3 linked regions of the Ovis aries genome follow. The protein of the gene in region 2 purifies or fractionates together with the protein of the main gene of each other region. This does not show direct contact. Links are inferred from orthologs where the notes say so. Each region holds a gene or a part of one and is shown on either strand. Other genes may lie near its edges. The genes, in order: RPA1, ZUP1 and UBR5.

The links.
Region 1: the proteins of ZUP1 (region 2) and RPA1 purify together in Homo sapiens (affinity purification with western blotting; 4 studies listed by BioGRID, with this or other methods). This does not show direct contact. The link is inferred for Ovis aries from reciprocal best matches to the Homo sapiens genes ZUP1 and RPA1.
Region 3: the proteins of ZUP1 (region 2) and UBR5 purify together in Homo sapiens (affinity purification with mass spectrometry, with the first as the bait; 3 studies listed by BioGRID). This does not show direct contact. The link is inferred for Ovis aries from reciprocal best matches to the Homo sapiens genes ZUP1 and UBR5.

What each region holds. Positions count from the first base shown.
Region 1 is NC_056064.1:22,827,582-22,837,539, reverse strand, and holds the end of RPA1 (replication protein A 70 kDa DNA-binding subunit), read right to left. Parts: intron 8,820-9,958; coding exon 8,643-8,819; intron 8,098-8,642; coding exon 7,990-8,097; intron 5,114-7,989; coding exon 5,027-5,113; intron 3,672-5,026; coding exon 3,567-3,671; downstream 1-3,566. UniProt on the Homo sapiens protein: As part of the heterotrimeric replication protein A complex (RPA/RP-A), binds and stabilizes single-stranded DNA intermediates that form during DNA replication or upon DNA stress.
Region 2 is NC_056061.1:21,145,600-21,156,277, forward strand, and holds the start of ZUP1 (zinc finger-containing ubiquitin peptidase 1), read left to right. Parts: upstream 1-4,339; 5' UTR 4,340-4,742; intron 4,743-4,959; coding exon of another isoform or gene 4,960-4,963; exon of another isoform or gene 4,964-5,125; intron 5,126-6,567; exon of another isoform or gene 6,568-6,848; intron 6,849-8,448; 5' UTR 8,449-8,462; coding exon 8,463-9,021; intron 9,022-10,678. Other genes in the region: KPNA5 (importin subunit alpha-6), read right to left, coding at 445-578, 4,960-4,963. UniProt on the Homo sapiens protein: Deubiquitinase with endodeubiquitinase activity that specifically interacts with and cleaves 'Lys-63'-linked long polyubiquitin chains. Shows only weak activity against 'Lys-11' and 'Lys-48'-linked chains.
Region 3 is NC_056062.1:74,929,913-74,940,590, forward strand, and holds the start of UBR5 (E3 ubiquitin-protein ligase UBR5), read left to right. Parts: upstream 1-3,912; 5' UTR 3,913-4,432; coding exon 4,433-4,494; intron 4,495-10,678. UniProt on the Homo sapiens protein: E3 ubiquitin-protein ligase involved in different protein quality control pathways in the cytoplasm and nucleus. Mainly acts as a ubiquitin chain elongator that extends pre-ubiquitinated substrates.

The sequences.
Region 1 (9,958 bases), on a different chromosome or scaffold from region 2:
GAGTGGGTTGCCATTTCCTTCTCCAATGCATGAAAGTGAAAAGTGAAAGTGAAGTCGCTCAGTCATATTCGACTCCTAGTGACCCCATGGACTCAGCCTACCAGGCTCCTCCGTCCATGGGATTTTCCAGGCAAGAGTACTGGAGTGGGGTGCCATTGCCTTCTCCTGTTATATGCCAATTAGGTCTAAATAGAAATAAAACTTTAGAAGTTAGAAAGTATGCACATCCGGTAGAATTGGCTCAATAAACTTACCCATGCAAACACATGGCCAAATGCCAATTAAAATTATGCAGATTTACAAAAAAATAATGCAGATCTCTTATTGAAACAGGAAAGAGGTCCATTCTTTAGTGCTAGGAGCAAAGTGTTACAGAATAATATGCATAATATAATCCCATTTTTAAGTTAAAACTATAATTACACACATAAAAGCAGAGAGAAAAGTAGTCAGCTACATAAGCAATTATTGCTGACAGGCGGGATTAAGGACAATTTTGTTTTTTCTTGTCTGCAGGTTATTTTTTCTACAATGAACATGGATTACTTGAGTTAAGAAATAATCAATGGTCCAAATAGTACCCATTCTTTTTTTTATTGACGTTAACAATACTTATCAGCTTAATAATAAAACATACTCAGTTGGCTTCTTTTTCAAAACAATGAAAATTAAACATCTAAAGTTTTTTTTGAGAGGGAAAGAAAAAAAAAAATATTATTCCCAAAAGTGTTTCTGAAAGCCATAGCTCTACCAGCAGAGTGGATTATAAAACCAAGAGCTAACAAACCACATAAAAGAGGGTGGGAGGGAGCCCTGGGGGGTGGGGGGGATATCCTCTTTGAGATAAGGAAATAATCAATTTACTAGAGGAGGAGTAGTGGGTTTCTAACAAGTGACAAGAAGAGACTGAACAACCAGTTTCATTTTCTATAAATAAAATCTGAGAAGGCATGTTGCCAAAGAAACACAAGTCAATATCCAAACCTTTATACACTGGGCTACCAAACTTGACTTTTAGACAGTATATTAATTACGTAGTCAATAACTATGGGTTTCATTAGGGTATTAAACGCCATAATCGATATTATTTATACTTTTCGAAGATGGGCCACTCAGGAAAAGATGTGGGGGAGGGGAAGTTTTTGATCCTGAAGTTCAAAAAGTCAGAATGAGCACACCAGAGATTACTAAGGCCTTAATGGAAAGCGTAAAACACAGAAAATATGGACAGAAATCAGATTATTACCCTTTCTCCCCCCCTGCCTCCATCACAATGAGACTGGAAGGGATCCAAGAGCCATTTAAAACAAAGACGAAATGATTAGATTTTTCCCTAATTGTCTAACGCTGATGTCATGGTGTACACAAAATAAACATTGATCTCTAAGTGAAAGATGAGAAATAGAACATGAACAGCCTTTCGAGGTTAAACTATCTCCAAGAGAATTCTAAGAACTGTGGGCCAGAATCTATTTAGGTGACCCTCAGGGACCTGAGGCTCTTAAAAGCCTAACAGTGGAGCCAATTTCTGATGCTCCTCTGCCAGTGATCTGCTTTTTAGTGGGGAATCTGCTCTACATGCCCCCTCGAGGGAGCCGCCCCATCTCAGAGCATCCCTCTGTGGGCTTCTAAGCACATCCGCAGAGACGTGCTGGTGTCACCTCATGGTCGTGAACGCATGGCGGCTGGTACCATGTTCCGGGAGAGGCGTTGGGGTCACGCTGCCGGTCAGTGCTCTTCGCAGGGTGGGAGCCGTGATGGGGAGAGGTGGGGATGCTGGGAGCGGTAGATATAAAAGACTGGTTACCAGGCTGAAAGCTAGATTGCTACTTCCAACCCACAATTTGTCAATCCACCATAGCACTGAAGACTGTAATTTTCTAGTCAGCGCTTTACGAGCAAGGTCAGACAGAAAGGAGCTTCCGTAAAAAATCGCCGAGGCCTTGGTCGGAGAATCAAGTGCAGCCCGGTGGCTATCTTCTGAGACTAGACCGTGTCCAGACAATTAGAGGGCCTGAGAGAAGGCCATCCTAGGTTCTGAGCCATGGAAGTCATCCTGCCTGACGCCAACTGGTTCCTCCCGGCAGAGGAAGGCTAAGGATGACACAGGCGGGACGTGCTCACTCCTCCAGCCTAGCAAGGGCCTCCATGTGCCACGCTCACCCAGATTAAAAACCAGGGCCCGGCACCACAGGAAGACTGCAATGCTGCCTGGATGCTTGGAAAGAGGTGTGCTGCAAACGCCAAATGAGGGGCTGCAGCGACCGGATAGATAATTAATATGATTAGGAACACACAGAGCAAGCATGTTCTTGCCGACTGAAAAGCCCAGTAGCATAATTACTGTTTTCTTACCAGCTCACTGTCTGTTCACATTTCAAAGCCTGGTTGGTGTTAAGACCGCTGTGTAAACATCAATAAAATCCCAAAGTGCCGGATCATCAGCATTCCGGGGCACAATGGCTTTTTGTTTTTGGTGTTTTCATTCTTTTAAAGATGCATTTCAAGGTTGCAGACATTAGGAAGAATGATCTCTATGCTTTGGACTAATCTTTGAGTTTGTAATGAGTTAACATCTCCCCCAAGTGAACATTTATTATGAAGGCTAATTAATTGCTTTCCAGTTACAAGAACCCTTTGCATTCAAAGAAAGTGGGATTCATAAGCAGAGAATAAACTGTTTATTAAACAAGGCAATGGCAACAAAGGGCTTCTCCCTTCAGAATCCCTTCTATTTAATACAGCTTTAATCAAGAAAAGAAAACATACAAATGCAAGAAATACGTACAGGTAGAAAAGGCGTACCAACAGAAATGCAACATTAATTGAAGGGGAGACGAAAGCGATGCTTTGTAGTTGCTGGGATGTCTCTAGGGGACAGCAAGTCAATGCTTATCAGCCTTCCTCAGAAGAGACCATTTTGATTAATATCAGACCCATCTGACTCAGTCTATTAAACCCTGAAGGAAGGATATTCTTCAGATATAAAAGATATGACTTTGATTAATAATTCTACCCTATTGCCATTCCAGGCATTAACAACTGTGTGGCCCCTCTAGAAAGGGAGCCTTTGAAATCAAGGAAGACAGGCTTCCTAAAACACTCAAGTTCCTCCACAAAACCACTTCTCAGCACTCCCCTGGGAAGGGGCCCGAGCTGAGAAGGTGTCGCCACTGGAGAAGCGGGAACCCTGCCTACATAATTTAGTTCACTGTCTACAGATTGAGGGTCAATTTCCTGTGACATAATTTCTGGTTGAAAATAACGAGATCTTAGTAAAACTGACAAAAGCCTAAGGACAGGGGGTGAGTGGCACTACAGTCTGTGCAGCTGACCCCGAGGTCTGACACGGTTTACACCAGAGCCCTGCGAGCGTATTTCCCTTTGCTGTCAGTGGGTTCCCAGGTGTGACGAGAGGCGATGGCTTAGTCTGTGGTAGAGGGGTGCTCTGCACCGCTGTCAGTCGGGGCGGGGATGGTGGTGCGCGTGGAGGCTGGGGGTGGGGGGGGGGGGGGGATTCAATCAGCCCTCTATCCACACGCTCCTGCCCCCTTGGCAGGATCCTCTCACATCGCCGCGTTCCTCCTGATGTTCATGACCAGCCTTCTGCCGTATTCTTTGTAGTCCACAGGCTTCACATCCACCACCGTGGCCTTAATCCGAGACTCATCCTTTGAAAAGAGAAGAACGATTTGTGATGGAAGAAACACCTGTGGCCATGCTCCTGGTTTCAGTGACCCCAACAGGAGAGAGCACGAAGACATGCTGGTGGTTCAGAGTCCCGAGAGCCCAGGAAAGGAGCCGTGCTGATGAGCACCGGGGCAAAGGCCCTGCACCGGTTCCTCATGGTCCCAGACACTCGGAAACCTGGACTCCAACAGAGCCAGAAACGGGAGCCCAGAAGACAGTGGCTTGCTAAAGCTACGCCACGGGCTCTGTGAGCGGGCGGTAGGAGAGCAGCCGTGCTCGCAGCAGAGGGCGAAGCCTGCTTCGGCCTGCCTCAGCTCCGTGAGAGGCGACCTTGCTGCCCTTCACCACCCCTGCCCACGCCACACAGGGACCAGTGACCCTTCCACCCCTCCCCCTCGACCACCCCCACCCCACCCTGACACCACACTGCTGACATCGAAAGGCTCATTTAATGCTCACAAAACCAGGCACAGCTGTTAGCAGGTATTAGGGTTCAGGCCTGACAAGAAAGCAGAGCAAGCAAATCCTGAAACAAGCAAGGTTTTCTGAATTCTCCTGTCGCCTGTTCACCAGGTTGGACAGTGCCTTCAGAGGCAGACTGGGGTGAGGCCAGCTCAGGGCCTGCACACTCCAGCTCTGTACCTACAAAACCCAGTCAGATCTCTAAGCATGTGTAGAGCTCTGAGGCTGGACTGCCTACATGCAATTATCAGCTGTGCCACTTGCTAGCGTATGAATTTAGGCAAGTTACTCAACTCTCCGTAACTACAGCTTTTCACTAGCAAAATGCAGGCAACAACAGTTCCTTCACACAGGGTTACTGCTAGGATGAATGGAGACGAAGTATGCAAAGGGTGGGGAACAGTATCTGGCAGATAGTCAGCACTCAATAAAGGCTGTTTTTTCATGATTTTATAATTGTATGACGTTATGAGCAATTAAAGGAATTTCCAAGGTAATGTTAACCACATGTGGTCTTTCTCTCATATACTGACTTTAGAACCCAAACCATGGGGAAGATGGGGTTTGTGTCTGTCAGGACACAAACCAAAATCCCCCAGGTTTTAACTGAAAAGGCCACACAGCATGTTTTCCTTGGCTGTTATTACTGGACATGACCCCTAACCTCTCTCTTGGTCTGTTTGCTCATCTGAAAACAGAGATGGTAACAGCACCCTAATGTTGGTGACTCAGTGAGTAATACATGCAGGGTGTTACGAGTTGGGTCTGGAACACAGTAAGCGAGGAACTGACAGCTAACACTGTAGTGGGGTTGTGGGTGACAGACGAGAGTTCTATGCTGCTACCCTCACGCACCACGGGTGACGCTACTTACATTGTAGGTCTCCAGTTTGACCCTGATCCTGAACGTAAAAGATCGAAAGTTGGCATTCTGGAAAACTTCCTCAAATGCTTGCTCGTTCTGCAGAAACAAAACGTAAAACTGTCAGCATGGAAACTACCAGACCACCTTAAATTATCTATACGGTTTTTAAAAAGACTTGGAGGAAAATCTCTGAGAAAATGATTACCTCCCAGTGGCTTGAAATTTCTTAGGAATGACTAATATATAGGTGACATTTCATCGCATAAAACTGTTTAGGTAGAATTTTATTAAAAATTAAAATACTCTACCTAGAGTACTCAATTTCATACAGACAGAAAGTGGAATGATGGCTGCCAGGGGCAACAGACAGTTAGTGTTTGATGGGTACAGGGTTTCAGCTGAGGAGGATGAAAAAGTTCTACAGCTGGATGATGGTGGCAGCTGCACAGCAATATGAAGGTATTTTAATGCCGGTGAACTTATACATGTGGGCTTCCCTGGTGGCTCAGCTGGTAAAGCCACCTGCAATGGAGGAGACCTGGGTTCAGTCCCTGGGTTGGGAAGATTCTCTGGAGAAGGGAAAGGCTGCCCACTCCATATTCTGGCCTGGAGAATGCCACGGGCTGTATAGTCCATGCGGCTTCCCTGGGTTCAGTCCCTGGGTCGGGAAGATCCAGCGGAGAAGGAAATGGCAACCCTCTCCAGTACTTTTGCCTGGAAAATTCCATGGACGGAGGAGACTGGTAGGCTATAGTCCATGGGATTGCAAAGAGTCAGACACGACTGAGCAACTTTACTGGTTCACTGGTATAGTCCCTGGGGTCGCAAAAGAGTCGGATACGACTAAGCGACTTTCACTCACTCACTCACAATGGTAAATTTTACGGATATTTTATCACAATAGAAAAAAACTAAACACTCTTAAACACATTTCTAAACTTTCAAAACCTGTGATGGAATAGATCTGAGGCTCAGAATCTTCAGAACAAATTAAGAATGGACGAGGACTCAGGAAAAAAGTTCAAGCTGTCATATATACATTATTTCAGCCTCTGGATTTACAGATGTAGTAAGTGAAGAAGACAGGAGAAGTGGGCAAAAGTTAGGGAAGAAGTTTAAAATTCACAGTTCTCTCTTACTGGCCTCTCAAATACTATTTGATTAAGCTTCTGAATTTAAAAAAAAAAGTCTGGTAAACGGAGGGATTAGAGAAAGCATTTTACACAAATATGCATAAAATAAATGTACAAGAACTTTTAATAAAATTAATAGTTCATATCAGTCAAGTATTATTTGCAAGCCACTTGGAACATGAAAATAGCTTTGTTATATATAGAACTCTTTATATAAAGGTTACTACACACACACACACACACACACACACACACACACACAGAGTCCTCAGGCTTTTGGGTATGTAAATAAAACAATGTGTTAAACCTTCAGAAAATTGTACCAGCTGCCATCATTCTTTCAAGATTAGTCAAAGCGTGGAGCGCATACTCCAAGAATATTATGATTCCTGAGGGGAGAGTTCCTATATGTCCTCATTCACTGGCAGTAAAACCAGTCAAATGTAATAAGCCCATAAAAAATCCTGAAAGGCTGCCTCGAGCCTTAAAAGCTGATATGAAAATAGAGGACCAGGCAAAACAGATAAAAGATACCATCATACTTTAAAGTCAATTCCAGTTATTTCTGTAAAAGGGCTTGTTGGGATTATTTTCAGAGAGCTCATGGACAATTTCAAAGAGACAAAAGGGCAGAGCTAAATGAAGAGAAGACAGGAAAAGAAAAAACACACACACACACACCCCAAAACAAATGACAAATCCTTTTTTGCTACTGGCTTTTACAAGTATCCTAACCGATTTGGAGGACAATGGGGGAGAAAAATCTATAGACAGATACTAATTTGTGTGGCCCAGAAACTATAGCTTTTATTGGTCTTTGTATGTTTTATCTGAGCAAACATCTTTCTTAACTTTAGGATAACTAGTAATCTAGTCCTTGAATTAAACAAAACTACTATGTGAAAATACTTTTATAAAAATTAAATGGAGAAAGTGACCTTACGAAAGAAAGTTACTTTGTAAGAACATATCTGACAATCTGAAAGAAGCACATACCTTATACGTGAATTTAAACCAGGATTTGACTCAACTTTTCAGAAAAGTGTTTATTACTTTAAAAAGGCACATTGAATAAAGATGTGGTATGGATACACATGGGAACACTACTCAGCCATAAAATAGAATGAAATAATACCATCTGCAGCAACACGGATACAAGAGATTATCACACTAAGCAAAGTCAGAAAAAGACAAATACCACAGAACACTATTTACATGTGGAATCTAACACACGACGCAAACGAACCTGTCTAGGGGGCAGAAACAGACTCAAGACACAGGGAACAAACTCAAGACACTCAGAAACAGACTCAAGACACGGTTATCCTGGGGGGTGGGGGAGTGGGTGGAGAGGGATGGACTGGGAGCTCGGGGCTAGGAGAGACAAGCCATCACATACAGAATGGGTGGATAACAAGGTCCTACTGTAAAGCACAGGGAACTAGTCAACATCCCAGGATAAACCATAATGGGGAGACCACAGTGGACTTAAAGTTTATTATTACAGACTCAAAAAATAAAGGTATCTGGACTTCAGCTCACTTCAGAAGATACTTCCAGATCTCAAGTGACTACAGGCACACCGACTCTTAGAAACAGGAGGAAAAAGTGCTTTCTACTTAGAAAGGGCTGGTTTTAAAGAATTTTATACACATGACTTCATCACCTCATTGTTAGCACATCTGAGGTGGACACAATTAGAATTAGATGAGCTCTCACAGTCAGCAGTGAGAGACGCTATACAACACCCACCAGCAATAGACCAACAGTTATCAGAGCAAAAAACAGGTAAGTCACAGCATGGGAACTACTACAGAAATGATACAGGACATGGCCGACCTTCTCTTTTAATTCCCCGAGATACGCAGTGTTTTGTCCAAGGATGGCCTCTGCAGACTCCTGGAAACATGTGACCCACTGATTCTCTTGAAAATCGGCAATATTGACCTAAAAAACACAACTTCACATCATTACACCAAAGAAGTAACAAAAGGAAGACACACTAAGAAGACTGGGAGATTGACTTTCTCCATTCCTTCAAAGAGTTTCTAGGGAAAAGAGCCGATTCCACCAAATAGCTATGTTCTTTCCAAAGAATGTAAAAAGCATCCAGGAGAGAAGTTCAAAATGTTAAGTGTGGATCACAGCAGGAACGTGATATGGTGTGGACGTGTGATTTCAGTTCTCAGGGGAGATACAACCCAACAAAAATCACCTTCAGATGCAGGATCCGGGCACAGTGGACTCAGAGGCCCTCCAGCTTCAAGGGGCTTTGGACTAAAGGTTTTGAATGAGTCTCCAATGTCTTCTGCATTTTAAACTGTACACCCTTCAGTCACCAGGAGGTGCTCCCTAAGACTGCTCTCAGTCAGTGCTGTGCACCCCAGACAATCTGAAAGCCTGAACTGAGAGACAAGCCAGTCTCCACAGTACCAGGAGCTTCACAGGGACAAGAAACACCAGAGCGGTCCTCGTGCACCCATCCTACTTACTGACAGGATCATGCGGTACTTGAAGTTGGGGAATTCACTGTCACACTTCTCGCAGCGGTACAATCCGTTCTGCTGGTCGATCACTTTCTTGTTACAATCCTGAGTTGGGCAGGCCTGGTACATACAGTTCTCTTTGCGAAGATACACCACGGTTGCCACAGAGCTAAAATAGTCAGGCTTCAGGAGAAGAGAGTGGCATGAGGCAAAGAGCACAGACCAAAGTTCAGGACTGGACCTGCCCTGACATATGAGGGGTAAGCGTTTGCATATTCTCACAATGTGATTATAAGGGATAATTCGTTCTATAGTTTCAGAGGTTACTTGAACTGACTACAAAATCCAGAAGCGTAACAAACCAAGTTCTAAAGCATATTACTCCTTAATAAGAAAGAAGTTAATTCTAAACTGTGCTGTGCTTAGTTACTCAGTGGTGTCTGACTCTTTGTGACCCCATGGACTAGCCCACCAGGCTCCTTTGTCCATGGGGATTCTCTAGGCAAGAATACTGGAGTGAGTTGTCATGCTCTCGAGATCTTCCCAACTCAAGGATCGAACCCAGGTCTCTCGCATTGCAGGTGGATTCTTTACTGTCTGAGCCACCAGGGAAGTCCTTAATTCTAAATTAGACTAAACTATTTAATTAAAACTGAAATAGACTACATGAAAGAAAAAGACTTCAAGAGATCTTGATCTTGTTGCTCCTGTTCCTCTGCCCCTCCGAAGGTAACAGAACCAGGAAATACACAGTGACACAGTGAACTCTAGCACAGTTATCTTCAACCAGTCCTCCTGTGTTAAAAACAACAGCAGTGATTTCGAGCATCTCGATTCAACTTTGTCTTTGGTCAACAAGCATTTTCTGTAAAAAGCCAGACAGCGTCTATCTCAGGCTTTACAAGCCATCAGGTCACAGTCTGTTGCAGCTACTCGTCCTGCTGCTGGGGTGCAAGACCATCCACAGACAGTCTAGAGATGAGAACGCGTGGCTGGTTTCAATGCATTTGTACTTACAATAGGCGGCAGGCTAGATATGGCCCATGGGCCTGTTTGTGGACCCCCAGTCTAAGTCATCAAGTTCAGTAGAATGCAAAAAGACTGAACAAGTGCCTTCAAAGTGGAGACAGCACTGGTAAATAAATGTGGCAAGGACCAAGTCACAAGCATAGGCTTTCTGTTGCTGCTATTTGCTTTGCCTTTTAACTGTCATGGAAAGGGTACAGGACGAATAATTTTGGAGGGTGGTGAGCAGTTCCCTCTGGGTGTACTCTGAACTCAGGGCCAGATGAATCCTCACTCTAAAAGGCTCTAGAGCAGCG
Region 2 (10,678 bases):
TATATAAAGCTCAAACAGAGAAGGCTAAGAGGTCTGCCTGATGAGACTACAGGAGGAACAGTATGAGCAGCACAGGAAAATGATTATAATTAACTTAGGGGCAAGGATTATGAAAACCACAAAGTGACAAATGAATAGAGTTAATGTTTTTCTAGGGGGCAAATTTTACAGCGCTCAGTGGAAGTGATAGAAATAGGCTCAAGAGTAAATATGTCTGGGGGTAGAAATATTGGGGTAGAAATACTGACATAAAGGTGTATCAATGGAATAGAAAAGGCATTCTTGTCAGGGATTAAAAATAGCATAGGGTTCCGATTCATGAATTTGCTAATATTATTGGATTCTAATAAAAATACATTTATATTCAATTTCCTAGAAAAAATTTTTCATTTAAAATTATCCAAAAATTAGCAATAACAGCATTAAATATTTTATAACACCTACCTGTTCTTCTCTTTTTTGTTTTCGAAGCTGTATTCCTTCTTCTTCTCTTCGTCTACGCATCTCCTGGGGGTTTAGGGCTTTATTCTTATAACTTTTCATTCTATAGTTATCTTTCCCAGGACTAGCCATGGCATCTTAAGATTAGGAGAGGAAAATAGATATATATTACTTTCAAAATAACATGAGATGTTTACTCTGGGACAACTAAATTCAGGCTCGTGGATCAAATACACCAACAAAACTCATCCTGAAAATTATGTACAATGAATACATCCTCTCACTCCCACATCAAAATTGGAGGAAAACGATCAAATGTTTTAGGACTTTACTATCAAACAAATAATAGATTTTGGTCTAAATACAAAGTCATTATCATAATTTCACTGATTCGGAGAGGCACTCTCCTATCCCTGGTATTTTAACCTTTCTATAAGTGAGGTGCATCTTAAAATAACTGTTAGCCAGGAAACAATCATGAAACAGCTGGATAAAAAACTTCTAAATCACAGCTTCTGGAAAAATCAAGAAATAATCAGCAATGAATTGTCTTATTTTCAACAAAATATGGCATCAAGTTTCAGTAAGCACACCTGATGTATTTATTGGTGTCTGGCTTCTTTCATTTACTTAAGGAACTGCCTAAAGAACTAAAACCACATAGGTCAGGACTTGAGTTATGACTACAATACCAATTTTCAGTACTAGAGTATAATTATTTCATTTAAAATACTGAAATGTTTCTATACTTTAAGTAGTTTTATTATACATATTTTAAAAAATTAACACATAAACATTTTATAAATATACAAAACATAAACATAAAATATATTTTAAAAGGGGCAGGAGATAAAACCAGAAAGGTAGGTAAGGCTGAAATATATAGTTCCTGCAATCTAGCTGAGAAATCTGGTCTTGATCCTAAGGAGAAGAATAAAGAAATTAAAGAGAAGGTTGTTTCAAACATTGATGATAAAAGACCTAAAGTAAATTAGTAGCTGCACTGAAAAACACAGAAGACAGACTGATGCCAGAAACATTTCAGATATTGATTCAATAAGAATTAGAGACCAAGAGAACATAAGGAATATGTGCTAAGAAAGAAAAAGGAGTTGAGGATGATTTCATGGTTTTCAGCATGAACTCTTTCAGAATAAGGACAAAATAACCCAAGACAGGGAATACAGATGGAGGATTGGCGTGGTGGTTTTGTGTTTTTGCCTCCTCGTTTTTGAGTTGAAAACAATGAATTCAATTATTTTATTTTTCATTTACGTACAGCAAAAATCACTCAGTACACAATTCTACGAACTTGACACAATGCTCAGGCATATAACCAACACAATTAAGATATAGAACAGCTTCATAATTCCCCCCAGAACTTCCTCATGTTGCTCCTATTTAGTCCTTCTCCTACTCCTAAAACCTGGTAACCACGATTTCCATAGCTCTGCCTTTACCCAAATTTCACATAAATGAAATTATAACAGTATATAGTCTTAATCGTCTTCCTTCATTTAACATAGTATATCTGTGAGTCATCATATTGTCGGCATGTATCAAAATTCATTCTTTATTGTTTAGTAATATTCTATTGTACAGATATACCATAGTTTATTGATTCACTAGCTTAAGGACATTTAGGTGGTTTCTAGTTTAGGGCAGTTACAAATAAAACTGTTATAAACACTCAATGTACAGGTTGTGTAAATATAAGTTTTCATTTCTCTCAGGTAAATGTGTAGGAGTAGAATCTATGGATAATAGGACAAGCATATGCTCCACATTTTACAACTGCCATTCTGAAAAGTAAGTATACCACTCTGCATTTTCATTAGCTATTACTGTTGCTCTGTATCCTGGCTACCCTTATTAGAATTTTGTTATTGTTTACTGCAGCCACTCTAATAATGTATAGTGACTTTAATCTTAAATGTGTTAAATTTATAGTACATAGAGCACAAACAGAAGGTTTTGATTTATAGATGGTTAAAAATTATGAGTCAAACTCAGGAAAAGAGTATTGAATGATCATTCAAGAGCATTAGAGCTATAAAAGAAAGATGCCCAAAGGAGAAATCTTAAGAATGTTCACATTTCCATGGAAAGCAAAGGAAACCAAACATAAATAGAAGGATCAGAAGAAAATAAGAGCCATGAAAAAGGAGGGAATTTAAAAGATAAAGAAATATTTCAGTTGCAGTGACACTAAAAAAAATAGTCACTCAATTTATTCATTCACTGATTTATCCCACAAATATTTAAGTGTCTGCAATAAGTCAAGTGCCATAGGAAGGTAGACTTGATAATCAGGTCACTGGTAAAGACAGAGAAATTTCTTTAGTGGTGGAACTAAAGGTAGAATGGAAAGGGCTGAGGACTTTACAATGCTTTAAAAAGTACTTTGCACCTCTTAACACATGCATATAGTTGTGCAACTAAAATACATGTATAATCAACCAATATCTCCTTATAAAAGTCAATAAATTAATTTTAGCAATACTGTGTGCACCTACAAATACTTATGTCTAGAAACAGTTCAATCTAACTTTCTTAATAACGTTTAGCATTATTCTCTATTTTATATATAAAATCTCTGTTGCACTAACAAAAGCTTAGGCTTGGAAGGGAAAAACAAAGTTAATTACCAAGCAAACTGGGCTTCATATTAGTTGTTGAATTACACTTAACAGTATAATATCTTAGCAAAATGAAATGTTCGCAGCAACAGACCTCTTTACAATATTTACCACCTATACATTAGGCATCTTCTAAGCCACTGGCCTCTAAACTTTTGATCACATATCCTATGCACACAAAATACATTTGGGAATGCACCCTCAATATGCTTGTTTATTTATATATGCATATTACTAACTTAATAAACTATCCAATTATAAATTCACAGAAATTTTTTTAAAAATAGTTTTATAAGATAAGCATAAGTTCTAATATCTTCTCCCCACATCTGATTGAATTACCTTGTGCCTCCCATCACACACAGCAGACAGTACTCCTAAGATCATCAATCTAGGCAATGACAAATTAAAATCTTTCAGTATAAATGCTAACCAAATAAAATCTCACGCCAGCAACTCATATATTATTTGTTTTCCTTCTATAGTACTAACTTCTTGTCTCTTATTTAACATCTGCATCCTCACTGCAGTTGCTTTAAAGGGGATATAAAGTTCAAGGAAAATGATTTTTTAAAGCTGCATCACCCAAGGGGATTTTCTTTCTCTGGAATATAGCTTAAAAGACTATACTTCAAAGCCTGCTGTCTCATACAAGTTATTTCAAATATAAGAAATGCCAATCAAACACTATAATGTTGCCAGAGGAATTTTTTTTTTTCAGTCATAAGCTTATTTTTGACTCCACTCTTTGAAAAAACTGTGCTGAGGTTAGGCAAACAACTGGAATCTGAACTTTTTCTAAAACATATTAACGGAATTTCTTGTCTCCATAAAGCCTGCGTTTCTATGGGCTTGGGTGTCTGTTAGTAAAATGACAAGATCAGTACAAAGGGGAAAGTGCAGCAATCAGAACCCCTACAAGCAAACAAGCAGTACCTGAAGATCTAAAGGACAGAGCTATTCCTGTTTACCATGAGAGAAAGTCACTTTTTTTAAATAAAATATAAATCATGGAATGCTGTAACTAAGAGACATCAGATCAGGTTTTTTTAAAAAGTGTTCAAAAAAAAACGAAGAGTAAATGCCAGTGTCATATTCTTTTGAAGTAGCACTATCCCTTCTCACAGATTTCAATTCCTCTCAACTCTTGTGCATTAGTGAGGAGACACTATTAAACTGTCACCTTGGAAGTGATCTAGCAGAAGCATCTAACCCGCGCTGGCCCGCGTCAGCACTGAGCCCTTCCAGGCATCTGCGCCAGGTGGACGGCAGCGCTGGACGTAGAGGGTGCGACACGTAGGCCCCTGGGGCTGAACCTGCCTTATTCTGGACACAAAAGAACTTCTAACAAGCGGAACAGATTGCTGAGCCCCTGAAGTGGCAGGCAACGTCCGATAAGACCATGTACCGAAAGAAAAAAAAAATACTAATAACTGCCGAGAGACAGCGGAGCAGAGCGGCGAGAGGATCCTGTGCCTAAAGCTCCTGAGCATCATCAGCCTGGCTCTCGGGGAGGCTCTGAGCTCCCTGCGCCTTCGCGTCCTCAAGGGAAAGGTCTGGCCGCCACGCCCCCGCCACCGCTGTCTCCCTCTGGAAAAGCTGAGAGGACCCGGCCCGGCCCGGAACCCTTTGTTGCTGCTGCTGCTGCTACTGCTACTGCTGGTAAGTCGCTTCAGTCGTGTCCGACTCTGTGCGACCCCAGAGACGGCAGCTCACCAGGCTCCCCGTCCCTGGGATTCTCCAGGCAAGAACACTGGAGTGGGTTGCCATTTCCTTCTCCAATTGTAGGGGAAGATAAAAACAGTGGCCTCAGGACCTAGTAGCTTCCGAAAGGACCAAACCCGAGGCTCACCCCACCTGGCGTGTCACTCCCACTTACCCATTAATGTGGCACTAGCCGGCGCCCTGACTTCCCAGTCTCCGGCTGTGGCGGCTGCTGCGGTAACTGTGGGGTCAGCCCTCCGCCCCTAGCTATGAGTACAGAGACCAGGCTCACAACGCAAGATGGCGGCCTCCTGCGCCCCTTACTCTAGACCCCCAAGTCTGGGCTCCCAGAAGCCCTTGCACGCGGCAGCGGTGGCGGCGGCGGCGGCGGCGGCCGCGAAGCTGCTGCTCCGACAGGCAGAGGGGCGGAGAGACGCGGACGCCCCAGCCCCACCCACTCATGGAGGATCCGGCGACTTCTAGACTCTGGGATTTTAACTCTGCGCGTTGCTGTGGCAGAAGTGTGTCCTACTGCCCTGACAGCAGTAGTGCTCCCTGCCAGTTCTGTCATTCACCCGTTCGTTCTTTTGTTCATCCATCCGCCCAAGCTTCCATCCATTCATTTATTCATTTTACAACGTAGTATTGACGGAGGGACTAATCTGTGCCAGACTTGATTTGATGTTGGAGGTACAATAGTGTACACAACGGATAAAAATCCTGACCTCGTGGAGCTTCATTTTCTTCAACCTCATTCACTTCTTCCTATCTTCTCTGCTCATTTGTTTCAACCTTTCAGTTGAAAATTTTTGGATGCCGTGACATCTGTGGATTTTTTTTTTGCAAAATAGTAGCCACTGATGTATGAAATAACTCCAAGTAAAGTACTCTTGATTTTTTATAACACACATACAGCCTTGTTCAACACATGGTTCAACCTTGGGGTTGAACAAGCAGTATTGAAAACAGGTTGTTTTCTCTATGTAGTTCTAGGCACAGAATATGCAAGATAAATAACACATGATTCCTTCCCCAAAGAAGCTTCTGTTTTCCATCTCTTGTTCTTTTTGTTCTCTTTTCTGAGAAAATTTTGGGTTATCTTACAGCTCTCTATTAATATGATTTTTTAAATTCTGATATTGTATTTTTTAAGTACCAAGAGCTGTTTCATATTTTTAATTCAGGGATCAAAATAGCGTTATCTTGTAACCGTGAAGCAAGAACAGGTCTTTGCCACCCTCCATAGTTAGAGGACTTTGGCACGCTGTAACATTATAAGCCCTTGCTTGATAATGTGAGAGTGCTACTCAGTCAGGCCCTGCTGCTGCTGCTAAGTCGCTTCAGTCGTCTCCGACTCTGTGCGACCCCAGAGACGGCAGCCTACCAGGCTCCCCCGTCCCTGGGATTCTCCAGGCAAGAATACTGGAGCGGGTTGCCATTTCCTTCTCCAATGCAGGAAAGTGAAAAGTGAAAGTGAAGTCGCTCAGTCGTGTCCGACTCCTAGCGACTCCACGGGCTGCAGCCTACCAGGCTTCTCCATCCATGGGATTTGCCACGCAAGAGTGCTGGAGTGTGTTGCCATTGACAGTGGATATTGTGGATTCGTGTAATGCCTTAGGACACAACCTGAGAATTCATTCATAGAGACCTCTGAGTCTAGTGTCTCGTCTTAAATTAGGCGTTGGAACCTTGACGGGGAAACGACTACGACTCCCACAATCCACCACGACCCAGATCAGCGTGCAGAGGTTCATGCTGGGATTCCTTCTCTTCCGGGGAAGAGAGGAAAAGCTTTTTTGAATGTGCGTCCGGAGGCTGAGGCTTTTCAGAGTCGCTGGTTCTCTTCTCGGTTAACCGTCAGTGTCTGGGTAAAAATAAGGGCCTACCTCAGTTTTTCAGGCCGGGAAAGGGAATCGACAGCGCGCAGCACTCCTTTGCCCGCGAGCCAGACGGCATCTGCTGCGGGATCCGAAGAAGAAGGGCAGTGTGACAGCGGCCGGCTCTTCAGGCCGGTAGGAACTGACCGTCCCAGCCCTGGATCCCTAGGCCGAATGCTTTGACCCAGTTAGTATCGGGACTGGTTTCATATCCTGGCCTTGGGACGTTGCCATGGACCTTTGGGCAGGCTCCGGCACCTTCCGCCGACCTCCACACATGTGTCATCCACTTGCTCTAAGTGTTGGGGAGCTCAAGCACACCATTCTGGGTCCCGGCCCGGGAAAAGAAGAAAATTCTCTGAGTGTCACGTTCTTTGCACTGATGGTTTGGGAGAATTTACATCAAAATCAGAGACTGTTTTCACTTGTCTGAGGAAAAGGGGTGGGGGGCAGGGAGACGAAGTTGGGCGATCTTATTAAACTAAATTTATTTAAATAGTGGGGATAGTTTCCTTATTTTCACTTTCTCTTTGTTTTAAAACAGTTTCTAGCTGAAAGATAGTCTAGGTAGTAGAAAGGTTGTGACTGTGCTTGCTTTTGAAAAACTTCTTAGCAAAATTTGTGTCAGAGCCAGAAATTTGTAAAGCCCAGAAGTGACTGCTGATTCAGTGTAACTCATTTTGTAGGCCGAACCTCAGAAAGGGGAGGTGTGTCATCTAAAATTATGAAACCTGAGATTATAACGCAGTTCTCTTGACTCTGGAATCAGTGCTCTTTTTAACTGTGTTCACTGTGCTTTTATGTTTTGGGTGGAGAGTGCACCTCTGGAGCCTGACTGGGTTAGCATTTGGGCTAATCATTTTCTGGTGCTGGTGACTTTGAGCCAGTTTCCTTCATTTAGAATGATCGTGTGTGCCCAGTCAATTCAGTCCTTACAACCGCATGGACTATAGCCTGACAGGCTCCTCTGTACATGGGATTTTCATGGCAAGAATACTGGAGTGGGTTGCTATGCCCTCCTCTAGGGGATCTTCCCGACCCAGGGATCCAACTTGCGTCTCCTGCATTGCAGGTAGATTCTTTACCGCTGAGCCATCAGTGAAGCCCAGAATGATAGTAATGGTGCTTTAATTAGTTTGACATATAAAACTCTTCAACTGTTAGCTGCTATTATGGAATTTGTTTATTTGCGCAACTGATTGTTAACTTTAAAGTTTTTGTATTTAGATATATTGGTTGATAAGGTTTCTTCTCTTTGTTTTCTCTTACTTGGCTTATTTTACCTGGGTGAGTTTATATACATTATTTTTTCTTTACCTCAGTCCAGACACACTGAAATTTTTGAAAAATTTTTTATTTCAATTTGCAGTATCATTGCCTTTGTTTAGGGATTCCCTGGTGGCTCAGAGAGTAAAGAATCTGACCCAGGGCTGGGTCAGGAAGATCCCTTGAAGAAGGAAATAAGAACTCACTCCAGTATTCTTGCCTGGAAAACCCCATGGATGGAAGAGCCTGATGGACTACAGTCCATAAAAGTCAGACACGACTGAGCAACTTCACTTTCGCTTTGCCTTTGTTTTATCCAAACCATTAACTTGAAATACAGTAGTTGAGATTTATAAATAAATTAGTATATTTGAGGAACAGTAAGGACATTGAAAATTTCTTCATCTAAATAATCTAGTCATAAATAACATATATAGTTGTTCCAAATCCTTTTATAAAATGTATTTTCTTTTTCTTCAGCTCTTACTTTCTAACATAAATAACATTGTATTCTTTTCTAGTTACCTGCTCTACCATGCTATCTTGTGATATTTGTGGTGAAACAGTATCCTCAGAACCAGACATGAAGGCTCACCTAACTGTTCACATGGAAAATGAAGTTATATGTCCATTTTGCAAGTTGTCAGGTGTAAATTATGATGAAATGTGTTTTCATATTGAAACTGCTCATTTTGAGCAAAATGAACTAGAAAGAAACTTTGAGAGGATTAATACAATACAGTATGGAACTTCCGATAACAGGAAGGACAGCAGCCTACAGTGTAGAGCAGACATTAATTCAAGTGTTCATTCAGCTTGTGCATCTAATCAGCCGAAGATTTCAGCTCAAAGCCTGCCTGAGGATGGTACTTTAAAACATAAAGACTTTTATTCAGAGAACTTAACTGAATCTAGAAAATTCCTGAAAAGTACGGAAAGACAGTCTGACCGAACCAAAATTAAAGAATCAATTTATGAAACGATGTACAGTCCTCCTGAATGTCCATTCTGTGAAAAAATAGAAGATAATAGTCAAGATATGGAAACTCATGTGAAAACAAAGCATGCTGATCTTTTAGACACTCCATTAGAAGGTAAAGTATTCATTTTATATAATAAGTAGCATTAGTCTCAATTTAATATGTAGTATCCCAAAAGTTGGTTTGTAAATAAGATTACTACAAATGTGTTTTTAATTTCAGTTTATAGCATTGCTCATTTGCCAATTATAATATGAAACTACTATAACGGAAAAGAGTTTTGATACAAACAAATGTTTCATCTACTTCGAAAGTAGCTGTAGAAACTTGAGGAGAAGCAGACTCACAGTCTAGTTTCCAGAGGAAGAAAGTGAAAATGAAAGTGTTAGTTGCTCAGTCCTGTCTGACTCTGTGTGATCTCATGGACTATAGCCTACAAGGTTCTTCTGTCCATGAAATTCTCCAGGCAAGAATACTGGAGTGGGTTACATTTCCTTCTCCAGGGGATCTTTCCAACCGAGGGATGGAACCTGGGTCTCTTGCATTGCAGGCAGATTCTTTACCAACTAAGCCACAGGGAAGACCAGTTTCCAGAGGGTATTCTTTTATTTACTACCCAGGCCAGTGGCATCTGGATTCTCTGGGATTGTGATTTTCTGTTACTGAGTTCTACTTTGATTCTTTTTTGATCAGAGAGCAAACTATGATTTAAGTTCTTTTGAATTTGTTCAAGTTATTTAAACTTGTTTTATGGCCTAAGATATGGGATATGGTCTGTTTTAGCACATGTTCACATGTTCCATAGACATTTGAAGAAAAAAAATTCTGATGTTGTTGGATCAAATGTTCTATATTTGTCAGAGTGTGTTGTTTGATTGTGTTCAGATCTTCCATGTCCTTACTGATTTCCTGTCCAGCAGTTCTACCAGTTTTTGGAAGGAGCTTAAAGTTCCCTATTATGATCTATATATATCTATATATCCCAGTATATTTGTCTGTTTTTCCTTTAGGCTCTATCAGACTTGTTTCATATATTGTGAGGCTCTGTTGTTGGTGCATACACATTTAGAATCATGTGTTTCTTTGATACTGTTGAGTTTTAAGAATAATTTATATATTGTGGATGCAAGTCCTTTATTGGATTTTGCAGATATTTCACAGATATTTTCTCTCAGTCTAAGACTTGTCTTTTCATTCTCTTAACAGTGTCTTTCACAGAAGTTTTTACTTTTAATGAAGTTTGCCTTATTTGATTTCTTTTTTCATGGGTTGTGCTTTTGGTGTTGTTTCAAAACTCTGCCAAACCCAAGGTCACCTTTCCCATGTTATCTTCTAGAAGTTTTGAATTTTACATTTAAGTCTGATTCATTTGAATAATTTTTATGAAAGGTTAAGGAGAGAAAACCTATATGCAGATCAGGAAGCAACAGTTAGAACTGGACATGGAACAACAGACTGGTTCCAAATAGGAAAAGAAGTACCTCAAGGCTGTATATTGTCACCCTGCTTGTTTAACTTACATGCAGAGTACACAATGAGAAATGCTGGGCTGAAAGAAGCACAAGCTGGAATCAAGATTGCCAGGAGAAATATCAATAACCTCAGATATGCAGATGATACCACCCTGATGGGCAGAAAGTGAAGAGGAACTAAAAAGCCTCTTGATGAAAGTGAAAGGAGAGTGAAAAAGTTGGCTTAAAGCTCAACATTCAGAAAACGAAGATCGTGGCATCTGGTCCCATCACTTCATGGGAAATAGATGGGGAAACAG
Region 3 (10,678 bases), on a different chromosome or scaffold from region 2:
TAGTAGTAGCAGCGTTAGTCGCTCAGTTGTGTCTGACTCTGTGACCTGACAGACTGTAGCCTCCCAGGCTCCTCTGACCATGGGATTCTCCAGGCAAGAATACTGGAGTATGTTGCCATTCCCTTCTCCAGAGGATCTTCCTGACCCAGGGATCAAACCCGGGTCTCCTGCGTTGCAGGGAGATTCACTTAGTAACATGCATTTAAGGTTCCTTCATGTCTTTTTATGCTTTATAGCTCATTTCCTTTTTGTACTGAATAATCTTCCATTGTATGCATGTAACCACAGTTTATTTACACATTCACCTACTGAAGGACTTTGTTGTTGCTTCTAAGTTTTAACAATTGTGAATAAAGCTGGTGTGAGCATCTATGTGCAGGTTTTTGTGTGGACATAAACTTTCAACTCCTTTGGGTAAATATTGAGGAGCATGATTCCTGGATCACATGTTAAGAGTATGTTAGTTTTGTAAGAAACCATAAACTATCTTCTAAGATAGCTGTACCATTTTGCATTCCCACCAGGAATCAATGAAAGTCCTAATTGTTCTACATCCTTGCCAGCATTTGGTATAGTCGGTGTTTTGGAATTTTATGCCCCGTTGTTTATTCAGTCAACATTCATATACCTACATATTTTCCCTTTTTATTTTTCATTATTTTATGCCTGTCTGCGCTTATACCAGGAAATCAGTTTCCTTTTACCTGACTCATACCTTTTAGTATGGGTCAACTGCTTAAAATTTCTCACATTTCTTTTTCTTTTTTTCTCACTTTGCCCCCCTCTTCCCTGCCCCACCCCCAGTATCTTTATATTTCTTTCATTCCTTTTTTGTCTGTTTGTTTCATTCTTGATGCTATATTTTGGCCTTAGGAGTGTGCTTTGCCCACAAGTGGGAAAATCTTGAAGTGTAAGGGGATTCACATCCCAGGAACAATCCTCAACTACTGAGAGGTAGAATTAATGGATAAATACCTCTAGCTTCCTCTCCGCTCAGTGAGCTAATTCCAAGATATGTCCTAACAGTCTCTCTGATGACCCCCAGTGGGACTGAGTTCCAGTTGTCCACGGTGGGATTGAATTCTAGTTGTCTACAGTGGCAAAACGTTCATCAACCCACTTTTATTGACTTTTCTCCATTCGCTGTCTCATTTCTCCGTTTCCATATAGTGCTTCCTGCAGTCACTTCCTAAATACTTGTGGCCACATCCTTGACTCAATGTATGTCTTGGGGGAAACCAACTCTAAGACATGGCTAATTTCAGAGCTGCAGTCCTTTGGGCTCCATACAAAGTGAGAGGAGTTCATTAGTACTCACTCACTATTGCATTAGGGAACCTTGGACATCAGTTCCTGTTGTCTTAGCTCTGAGAATTTGTCAGAACTGCTCAACTTCTTGGCTTCTTATTAGGTCTTTCTGGAACTGGCATTCATCCCAGGGGGAAAAGTGGCTCTAAACACAGGACTCACTTCTTTGGGTCTTATTCATCCCTTGGATCCTAGTGTGGTAATTCATCATTATTTTGTTAACTCTCCTGTTCCTTTAAGCAGGTTTAAAGAAATATTGTTGGTTAACTTTTTAGTTGTCCTCAAATAAATTAGTTCAAATTGTTAGGAAAGAAGCTCACTCCAGCCTTCTTTTCTCAACTTGTATTGTACTTCGGCTTTTCAAAGAAGCTTCTGCTTGAACCTTGCTTATTTCCCTTCCTTATCTGTATTCCCTCCTTCCCCATCCATGTGATGCACAACTCTGTGTCTTTATTCTTGCTCTTCCGGGTTCAAAGTGTGACCCACCATAGTGTTAGGGAGATGAATGTTCTAACACAGCAGCCTGGACAATGCCAAGATAGTTGTCAGTCAGAGACCAAGTGGGTACTTTGAATGGGCTGCCGAAGAGTGATGAGACCAGCCTTCAACCAGGATAGAAAATCTCAGTTGGTAAATCAAGTTGAAAGCAGGATGGAAGCACAATGAAAAGATGAAGGAGGGCAGATATGGAAGAAAGAGAAATGAAGCAAAGTATAGCATGGACTTTGGAGTTTGTCCAGGGGCACAACTAAAATGACCAAGTTCAAACTGGATGTTCTGTTTTCCCAGAACATTCTTGAAAGCTTAAATGAAATGACTTTTCTTAATTCTCTTGGCTGGAACCACTTCCTCCTTTAACTTTCATAGCACTCTTATTGCATTTATCATATCAGATTTTCCCATTGACTTTGAATAATCTGTTCCTTCTAAATTATTAAGTAGATGACAGTTGTGGTATAGTGGAAAGAGCAATGGAATCAGTTTCAGCACTTATAAGGTATTTGGGCCTCAGTATCTTCATCTATATAATGGCGATAATATTATTTACTCCATAATGTGATTTGAGTAATGAAAGACATAAGTGTATAAAGTGGTATGTAGTCAAGTGGCACACAATGAGCAACTTGACAAAAAAACTTCTGCTTGCTGACATTACTAAATGTTATGAAGTGCTCTAGGTACTTGACATACATTATCTTATTTAGGCCTCACCAAAACCCTACATAGATCTATTACTATGGAATATTTCACAAATGAGGAAAAAAAGATGCTATGATAGGTTAAATGATATAATCAAGTCCACACAATTAATAATTATTAGAAACGGCACAAATTCAAGTCCGTCTGGCTCCAAAACTAACAGTGTCCATTGGTTTCCTCTGCTTCCCTGTGGCCCCCACGAATTTCTAATAGAGGCTTTGAAATCACTTTTTAGTCTAATCTGGGCCATTTTGGAGCTGGTGACCTACAAAAGTGTTCCATTATCTGTCTCAAGGGGTACCTACTCTATCCTGATTTATAAATAGTCATATATTTTGTTCAAAAGAACTTCTAAGCAAGTGCGTATGTGTAATGCAGTAACAGAAGAAAAGTGATATTTAAAATTAAGAACGTTTCACAGGACCCTTAATTTAACGGAACATACTGGAGAAAGAGGCTTCGTGTTTTCACTTTTTTTTTCTTGAAAGAAGTACTTGATTTTTTTGAAGGGGCCAGAGAAGCCTTTGAGAAAAAAATCTATTAACTGGTTCCCTAGAAAAAGGCAGATCTATTTAAGAATTAGCCCTTATGATCCCACTGATCATAAGCTGAAGAACGAAACATCTTCGATGAAACTGATATTTCATCTTTCATTTAAAAGAATTAAAAATTCATGAGTCATTTAAATCAGGAAATCGGTGGAAATTTCCACATTTTGTCTTTGTGTGGATACGTGATGGTGGCGGTTGCGTGGGGGTGGGGGGTGGGATTGGGGAAATCAGGGTGATAAAAAGAAGTTGCTGCAAAGTCAGCTCTATAATCCTACGATTGGACCTTCTGGAAAGGCCCTTACATAACTACCTTACTTCTCCAATAAAACGCTGTCCGTTTCTTGCCCCTTAACAGATTTCTACACTTCCACTTTAAATATAACTGCGGATGTGAAGGACGAGAAACAACAACAGAAAACCCCTAAGGGTCCGCAAAATAATTAGGGCTGCCCCAAGAGAAATCAGAGCGCGAGACTGGAGGAGCCCCTGTTCCCTCCCACCACCACCGCGCCGGGGACACACACTTAGCCTCTCTCCCGGACTCCCCGCCCCAGCCGGCTCGCCCCTCCGCCTCATCTGTCCCGAACACGTGCTCTCCGGAACACTCACTCGGGAGCGAGCCCACCCCCCCGGGGGGGGGCCGGGCTCGGGAGCCGAACGGCCCAATCGGCGCGCGCCTTACAGCGCCGTGGCTGAGCCGCCCAATCGGCAGGGCCTCGCCGCCCGTTTCCCGGAGCCCCGCCCCCTCGCGGCCGTGCCCCACGCCCGCCGGTCTCCTCCCTCCTCCTCCTCCTCCCGTTCGCCCCTCCCCCTCCGCTCGGGAGCGGAGCCTGCGAGACGGAGAAACTGGGGCAGAAGTGAAGATGGCGGCGGCGGTGCTGGTGGTGGCGGCGGCGGCTTCTTCTCGCCAGTGACGCGCCGAGCGGGCTCATTTCCCTCCCCACCTCCCTAGTCCGGACCCCGTCCGCCGCCGGGACCACACACCGGCCCCACAGCCCGCAGCCCGTCCCCCTCCCCTCCTCAGTCGGGCCCCTCTCTCCCGACGTCCGGCTGCCGGTGGCGGCGGCAGCGGCGGCGCGCCCCGGGTCCCGGCCGCCGGCCTCGCACTCCTGCGCCCTGTCGCTGAGGGAGCGGGGTGGCGTGTTGATCCGCCCTCCTGCCCGCCCCGCCGGACCGCCGCGCCTCGGACACACGCCCGGCAGGGAGGCGGCGGCGGCGGCGGCGGCGGCCCCTGCGCATTTGCTTCTCTCATTTGGGGACCGGGAGGCGGCGGCGGCTGTGGCTGTGGGTTTTGACGAGGGGAAGGGGTTCGGGGGTGGGGGGAGCCGAGCGGGAGGGGGCCGTCCTCGAGAGGACGACGAGAAGGAAGCACCATGACGTCCATCCATTTCGTGGTTCACCCGCTGCCGGGCACCGAGGACCAGCTCAATGACAGGTAATAGGGCCGGCGGGCGGGCCGGCCGGCGGGCGGCGGGGGGAGGGGCGCCTCCCCGCCCTCCCCTCCCCCACGGGGCCGCGCCGGACCGGCGGCCGGTGGGGAGGGCGGGGGTCCTCACTGCCCCCCGGCTAGGCCCCTTCCGGGGCAAACTTCTGGTCCCAAGGACCGGGGCCGCGGGGTCGGGGGGGTGTGGGGGGAAGCGAGCTGTGGACGGGGAAGAGCACTGCACCCTCTAACGCCCCCTGGTCCCCCCGCCTCCACGGAGGAGCCGCGTTCAACTCGGTGGGGGCGGCGGGTGGGTATCCAGCTCCCGGTGCGGGGAGCTTCATCACCGCCCGGGCCAGGCCCGAGGAATCCATATTAGTCAAAGTTGAATTGAGACAGACAATGCGGATGGGGGATGGTGGAGGCTGAAAAAAAAAAAAAAGAGGGAAGCGGAGGAGCCGGGCGAGGGGCCCCGGGGTAGGCTGGGTTCGCCCGGGCTCCCGGGAGCTGTGTCCGGTGGGGTGGTCGGACCGGCGGGGGCCTGGGGCTCCTGGGGGAAGGGGAGGCGGGGCGGGGTGGGGTCGGGGGACCTGGGTGGGAGAAGCTGATTCCCTGCAGATCGCGGGTGGGGTGGCGGGAGGGAGGAAGCGCCATGATTATTGTTATTATTATTAAATTTGAGCCCCTGCAGTGAGGTTTGCCGGTCCGGGGAGGGGATGAATTTAGGCGAGGGTGGGGGGCGGGGAGGGAAGTGGATTGGGTTCCCTTTGCTCTGTTTTCTCTGGAAACGGTGCTGGCAGCTCCTGTTTCCCAGTCCCTGTGGTGCGAGCTTTTTTGTTTCCTTTTTTTATTCTAATGATAGTGTTTTCCTGAGTTGTAATTTGACAGCTGAAAACCGTGCGTAGAGTCAAAGGAAAACTCTTACGTTTGCAGTTCGCAGTGCTGCTTTTCTTAACACGCTGTAAATTTCTGGGATGGGTTTTGCTATGGGCGGAGGAGGCATTATGATTTTTTTTTTTTGGTCTTTCATAAGGAGGCTGTTTTGACTCCGGATTCCTCCCCTTCCCTCCTCCACCGTTCCCTGCCAGTTTAGGATATTGAATTGCAAGGCCGCATGCTCTCAGGGAACTGAGATAAAGCAGGAAAAGTTCCTTCACTGTTGCAAAACAGAGATTCCGAAAAGGTTGAGGGAAACCTCCATTAGGCAAGGCTGAGAATCTAGGACTCAGATCGAATGATGGGCTAAATGTTTTACAGGGTCAGAAAGTGGGGCATTTGAAGTTTCTATACCAACACTTTCGCTGCTCTCTCTTCCTCATAAATATAGAAGGCCGTCAGGGCCCACGTTTAGAAGTTAGATATGATTTTTGTTAAGTGACCGGGTGACATAAATTGCATGAAGCCCTGTTTGTCATGCACTTCCCTGAGGGAGGAGGAGGCCTAACTTCTGCTGATATACCGGCCTCTGTTTCGGGGAATCTAACTGCCTCAGGTGGGGCGGACAGCCTTTCAATCCGGGAAGCTGGAGGCTTGGTTTCTGGCATTGGGTTCGGATTTGTCTAATCTTTGCTGTTGTAGCCATATTGTATTTCACATGTTTGTAGAACTTTTGGAATACTTTCTCAAAATACTAATCATTTGGAGTGGTCACATAGTTCTTTTAAGTACGAAAATAAGTTTTAAGTCATTTATTTTATAATGCAGTCTTACTCCGATTTTATTTCATTACATATCTTTTGTTAAGACTTTTACATAAGGTTTTTTTTTGGGGGGGGGGGTAAATTTTAGAACCAGGCTAGTAGTGAGGATAGCTGTACTGTCTGTCATTCATAGAATCCAGTTGGCCGTGCTTGTGGGGGAACTTGTTACATTGCACCAGAAGAGACATACACGGTGTATTTTTTATACTAGTCCTAACTTTATATACCAGGAATCCTAACTAATTTACTCAATTGATCATGCATGCCAAAACCTATTTTGCGGTTTTGTTAGGCACTTTGAATAATTTTTGAGCATTCTTTTTTCAGCTAGTCTAGAAATTTACATGTATCCTTTTTAAAGCTACCTTTTCTTTTTTCATTCTTGGTGTAAACAAATAATCAGCTTTGACTCCTGTACTCTCAGTATACAATATTGAGACTATTTGGATCATTTTCAGTTTTCATGAGAAATAAAGACAGGTGGTTTCGAAAATGAGACTGTAAAATATGTGCATCAAGAATGTAGTAGATATTAAAAAAAACAGCTGTAGATAAAATTTTAGGAACCTGTAGTTGTATCTCATAGCAGTAGAATGTCTGGTCTGTTTTATGAAAGCAGCGCTTGAAATAGTCATGCTTTCCAGTTTTGAAGTAGTTGACTTGTGGAGCTGTTCTGTGTCTCCCCTTCAGAAGAAGATCCTGTATGCATACCTTGTTGCAAAATACTAGATCAACCCTTTGCTGCATTGTTTAAGGGAAATCTTTCCCCACAGGAGACTCTTTCTCTGGAACCTTTTAACTTAACTAGAATGAGCCCAGAAAATTTTTGCCTTTAGATAAAAATCTAACAAAAAGATAATTGATAGTTTTGGTGAAAAAAAAAAAAATATATATATATATAAATACATAGACGTTAGTATTTACCCAAAAAGCAGTAAGATTGGACTGGCAGCATGGTATTGAAAATAAATTGCTTAGTCAAATAAAACGCCTCAAAACACCAATATTGTGCTGTACAAATAAAGTTTTCTATTTAAAATGGCTGCATCCTATTAAAAGTCATATATTTTGTTTAGTGTAGAAATGTGATGTCAGCATTTAAAATGTACTCAGTATTAAAAAAAAAATCTGATTTTTTTCCCTCTGTGTTTTTTCTTTTTTAGCAGGAGGAATAAAAGAAGCAGGCAAAACAAAACAAATGGTAAACAGAAGGCAGAATGATACTAACAGGGTGATGTGGAGGCAAAAAAGCTAAAGCTAAAAATTGTTGTTTAGTCTCTAAAGTCAAGTCTGACTCTTTGCCACTCCGTGGACTGTAGCTCACCAGTCTCTCTTATCTATGGATTTCCCAGGCAGGAATACTGGAGTGCGTTTCCTCTGTGTTTTTATGCTTGTTATTTTTGTGATGGGCTTCCCAGCAGTAAAGAATCCTGCCAGTGAAGGAGACATGAATTTGATCCCTGGATTGGGAAGATCCTCTGGAGAGGGAAATGGCAACCCACTCCAGTATTCTTGCCTGGGAAATCCCATGGACAGAGGAGCCTGATGGGCTACAGTCCATGGGGTTGCAAAAGAGTTGGACGTGATTAAGCACGCACTCATGCATTTCTGTGACAGTCTTGGTATATTGGGTTAACATCTTTAATTATTGGCCCTGGGAGACCAAATAATGCAGTAGTTGAATACAGGTGGGGATGGCTAGGCATTCCTAGAGCCTAGGATATTGGTTGTGGATTTCCAGAGTGATTACAAGGTCCCTGGTGCAGAGAGCTGGCCCCTCAGCAAATATTCTTTGTATGGAATTGAAACCGCTCAGTGCTCAGATACTTGTGTGACATTTTGATTTTCTTTCTAGCAAATTCCTTGAGTTAGTGCTATGTTCCTGCTTAAAACATCTCAAGAAATAATCAGTAGTAAAAACCATACCAAGAACATGGTACTGCATTTTGAGATTGAGAGGCGAGCTGGAAGTGCAACTCAACAAATCCTGGGAAGTGCCGAAGAAGTCAGTAGACCATTCTTTTCACAGATGCGCTGGAAAACCAGGCCTGAGTTTACCGACTTTATCCATGGTACTGACAGATGAGAGCCACATGATGGGTCTTCTAATTTTTGAAGTCCAGGTCTCTTCACTGTCCCACATGGCCTGTATTCTAGGAAATCTCTGCTTTCTGAGGTGTCCCAGCCTTTGTGCAGCCACCTGTCTTAGAGTTTTGATTTCTCCTCCCCAACGCCTCCCTCCTGCACTTCAAATTGATTTAGGCCTTTTGTCAGAGCGTGGAACCTCTTAATGCTTTCCTAGTACTAGGTCAGGAGAGGCCTTTTAAGGTGATATGTGTTCCTGAGACTAGTCCCTGTCTTGAATTACTCTTTGGGATGCAGGTTGGCTACATTGCAACGCAGTTCACGTTGTTGGTCTGGATGTGGAATTTTCCTGTGAGCTTTGCTCTTAGGCATTATAATGTGCTGTGTGACCAGAAACAATCTGGGTTGAGACTGTTACATTGAAAAGGTTTTTCTCCAAGGAGCTCCCCCTTTAGAAGCTATAAGGCTACAGAGTAAGGTAGTGTAGATAGGAGTTTAAAATTAAGAATTCCTAAATCTGGTTTGTCTCAGCCCTGCTAGTTATTAACTATGTTGTGGTAGGCAAGTCGTTTAAGCCCTTACAGTCTCATTCCCTGCCACTCCTCCCCACCCCTCCAGACTCAGTTTCTAAGTCAGGTATAGTAGTACCCTTGTTGGTGAAGAATAGTTGAGATAGCAGGTGGGAAAGCACAATATTATAGGTTCTGTGGAAAATATTATAAAGAGATAGTTACTTTTTACAGCTTTTACATTTTGTCTGGTTTCCAAATAGGAAAACAGGCACTAGAGGAATTGCACTAGAATATCCTTAGCATTGAGTGCAGAATCCAGACTGTTAGTCTTAGACCAGTGGTTCTCAATTGGGTGTAGTTTTTGCTCCCCGCACCCCCCCCCCCCCCCCCCCCCCCCCCCCCCCCCACCCCCCCACCCCCGGGGATGTTTGCCGTGTTTGGAGACATTTTTTGGTTGTCCCAGTTGGGGCATTGTTACTGGCCTCTGGTTGGGTAGACATCAGAGGTGGTGCTCACCACCCTGCAATGCACAGGACAGCCCCACAGTAAAGTATGAACCTATCCATGATGTCAGTTGTGGTGAGGTTCAGAAACTCTATCATAGATCATCTTGAATATATACAGATGTAAAACTAAAGGGAAATTTATGAAAAATTCAAGCAATATAAGTTAGTCTCAAGACATGACTTACTTAAATTGAAATTAGTTGAAAAGAAATAAAATTAACAAGTCAGTTCCATAGTAACAGTAATCACATTTCAAGTGCTCTGTACCCACATGTAGCTAGTAGCTCGGACAGTGCAGATACAGAACAGTGCCATGATCACTGCAAATTCTGTTGGGCAGGGTTGACACAGAAAGAGCTTTTTGCACAATACCTGGCATTTAGTAAGTGCATCTTATTTTATTAGGAACTGTTGGGTTTTAAAGACTCAGCCATATCCTCATCCCTTCAGTAGGATCCAGAAAAGAGGCCTGGGAGTATGTGGAGCTGAACAAAGATTGTGGTGGGTAGAGGTTATAATAGTTGAAAGCTGCTTAAAGTTTCATTGTGCTACACCAAAAAAACACAGTATTAGGGTGGAATAGAGCATCACGTCACCAAACCAGTGGGAAATCTGACTATTTGATTATTGAGATAGTTACCTAGAAACAATAATACTAGAGTGACTTTACTGAGAAAGTCCAGGCAAGCCTCAAAAATGATTAAGTTGTTTAAGGAAAGTAAGATTAAAGACAGGGTATGGAATAGCCAAACAAAAAATTGAAAATGAAAACAAACAAGGGAAGATTAGTTTTATAAATCAAAAAATCAGTGAGTAAATTGTAGGTCTAGGAGTAAACAGATACTTGGGAAGGCAATTACATAGTACACAGGAGTACAACTAGGAATCATGGGATGAACTTTAGAAAAGGTGAGGATTTTTCCTTAACAATTAACATTATTTAGGAAATAGTCTTTAAAGGAAAGTTTAGTCACTGAGGACTGTGTCAAATTACACGTAAGTAGATCTTGCAGAGTGTATTGAGGGGAATAATCTTATGTGATAGGAGAATGTATTAATGTCCTTGTGCCCCATTTTCATCATACATACACTAGGCCCTTGGTATCCACAGGTTTCATATCTACAGATACCAAGTGCTAACTATTTGTACTAGTTATTTTATAAAGGGACTTAAGCAGCCAAGGGTTTTGGTACCCGCCGGGACTCTTGGAACCAGTACCCCTTAGAGACACAGGGCCAACTGTATTTCTAGTTAAGAAAACAAACTCTAATTATAGTCTGTTTCTGTCATTTTGACACCTTGGCATTCTGAGCAAATGACAACAGCCTGTCTCCTGGCTCACTGTAATTTTGAAATGTTGATTTGTTTTTAAAATAATTTTTAAGTTTTATT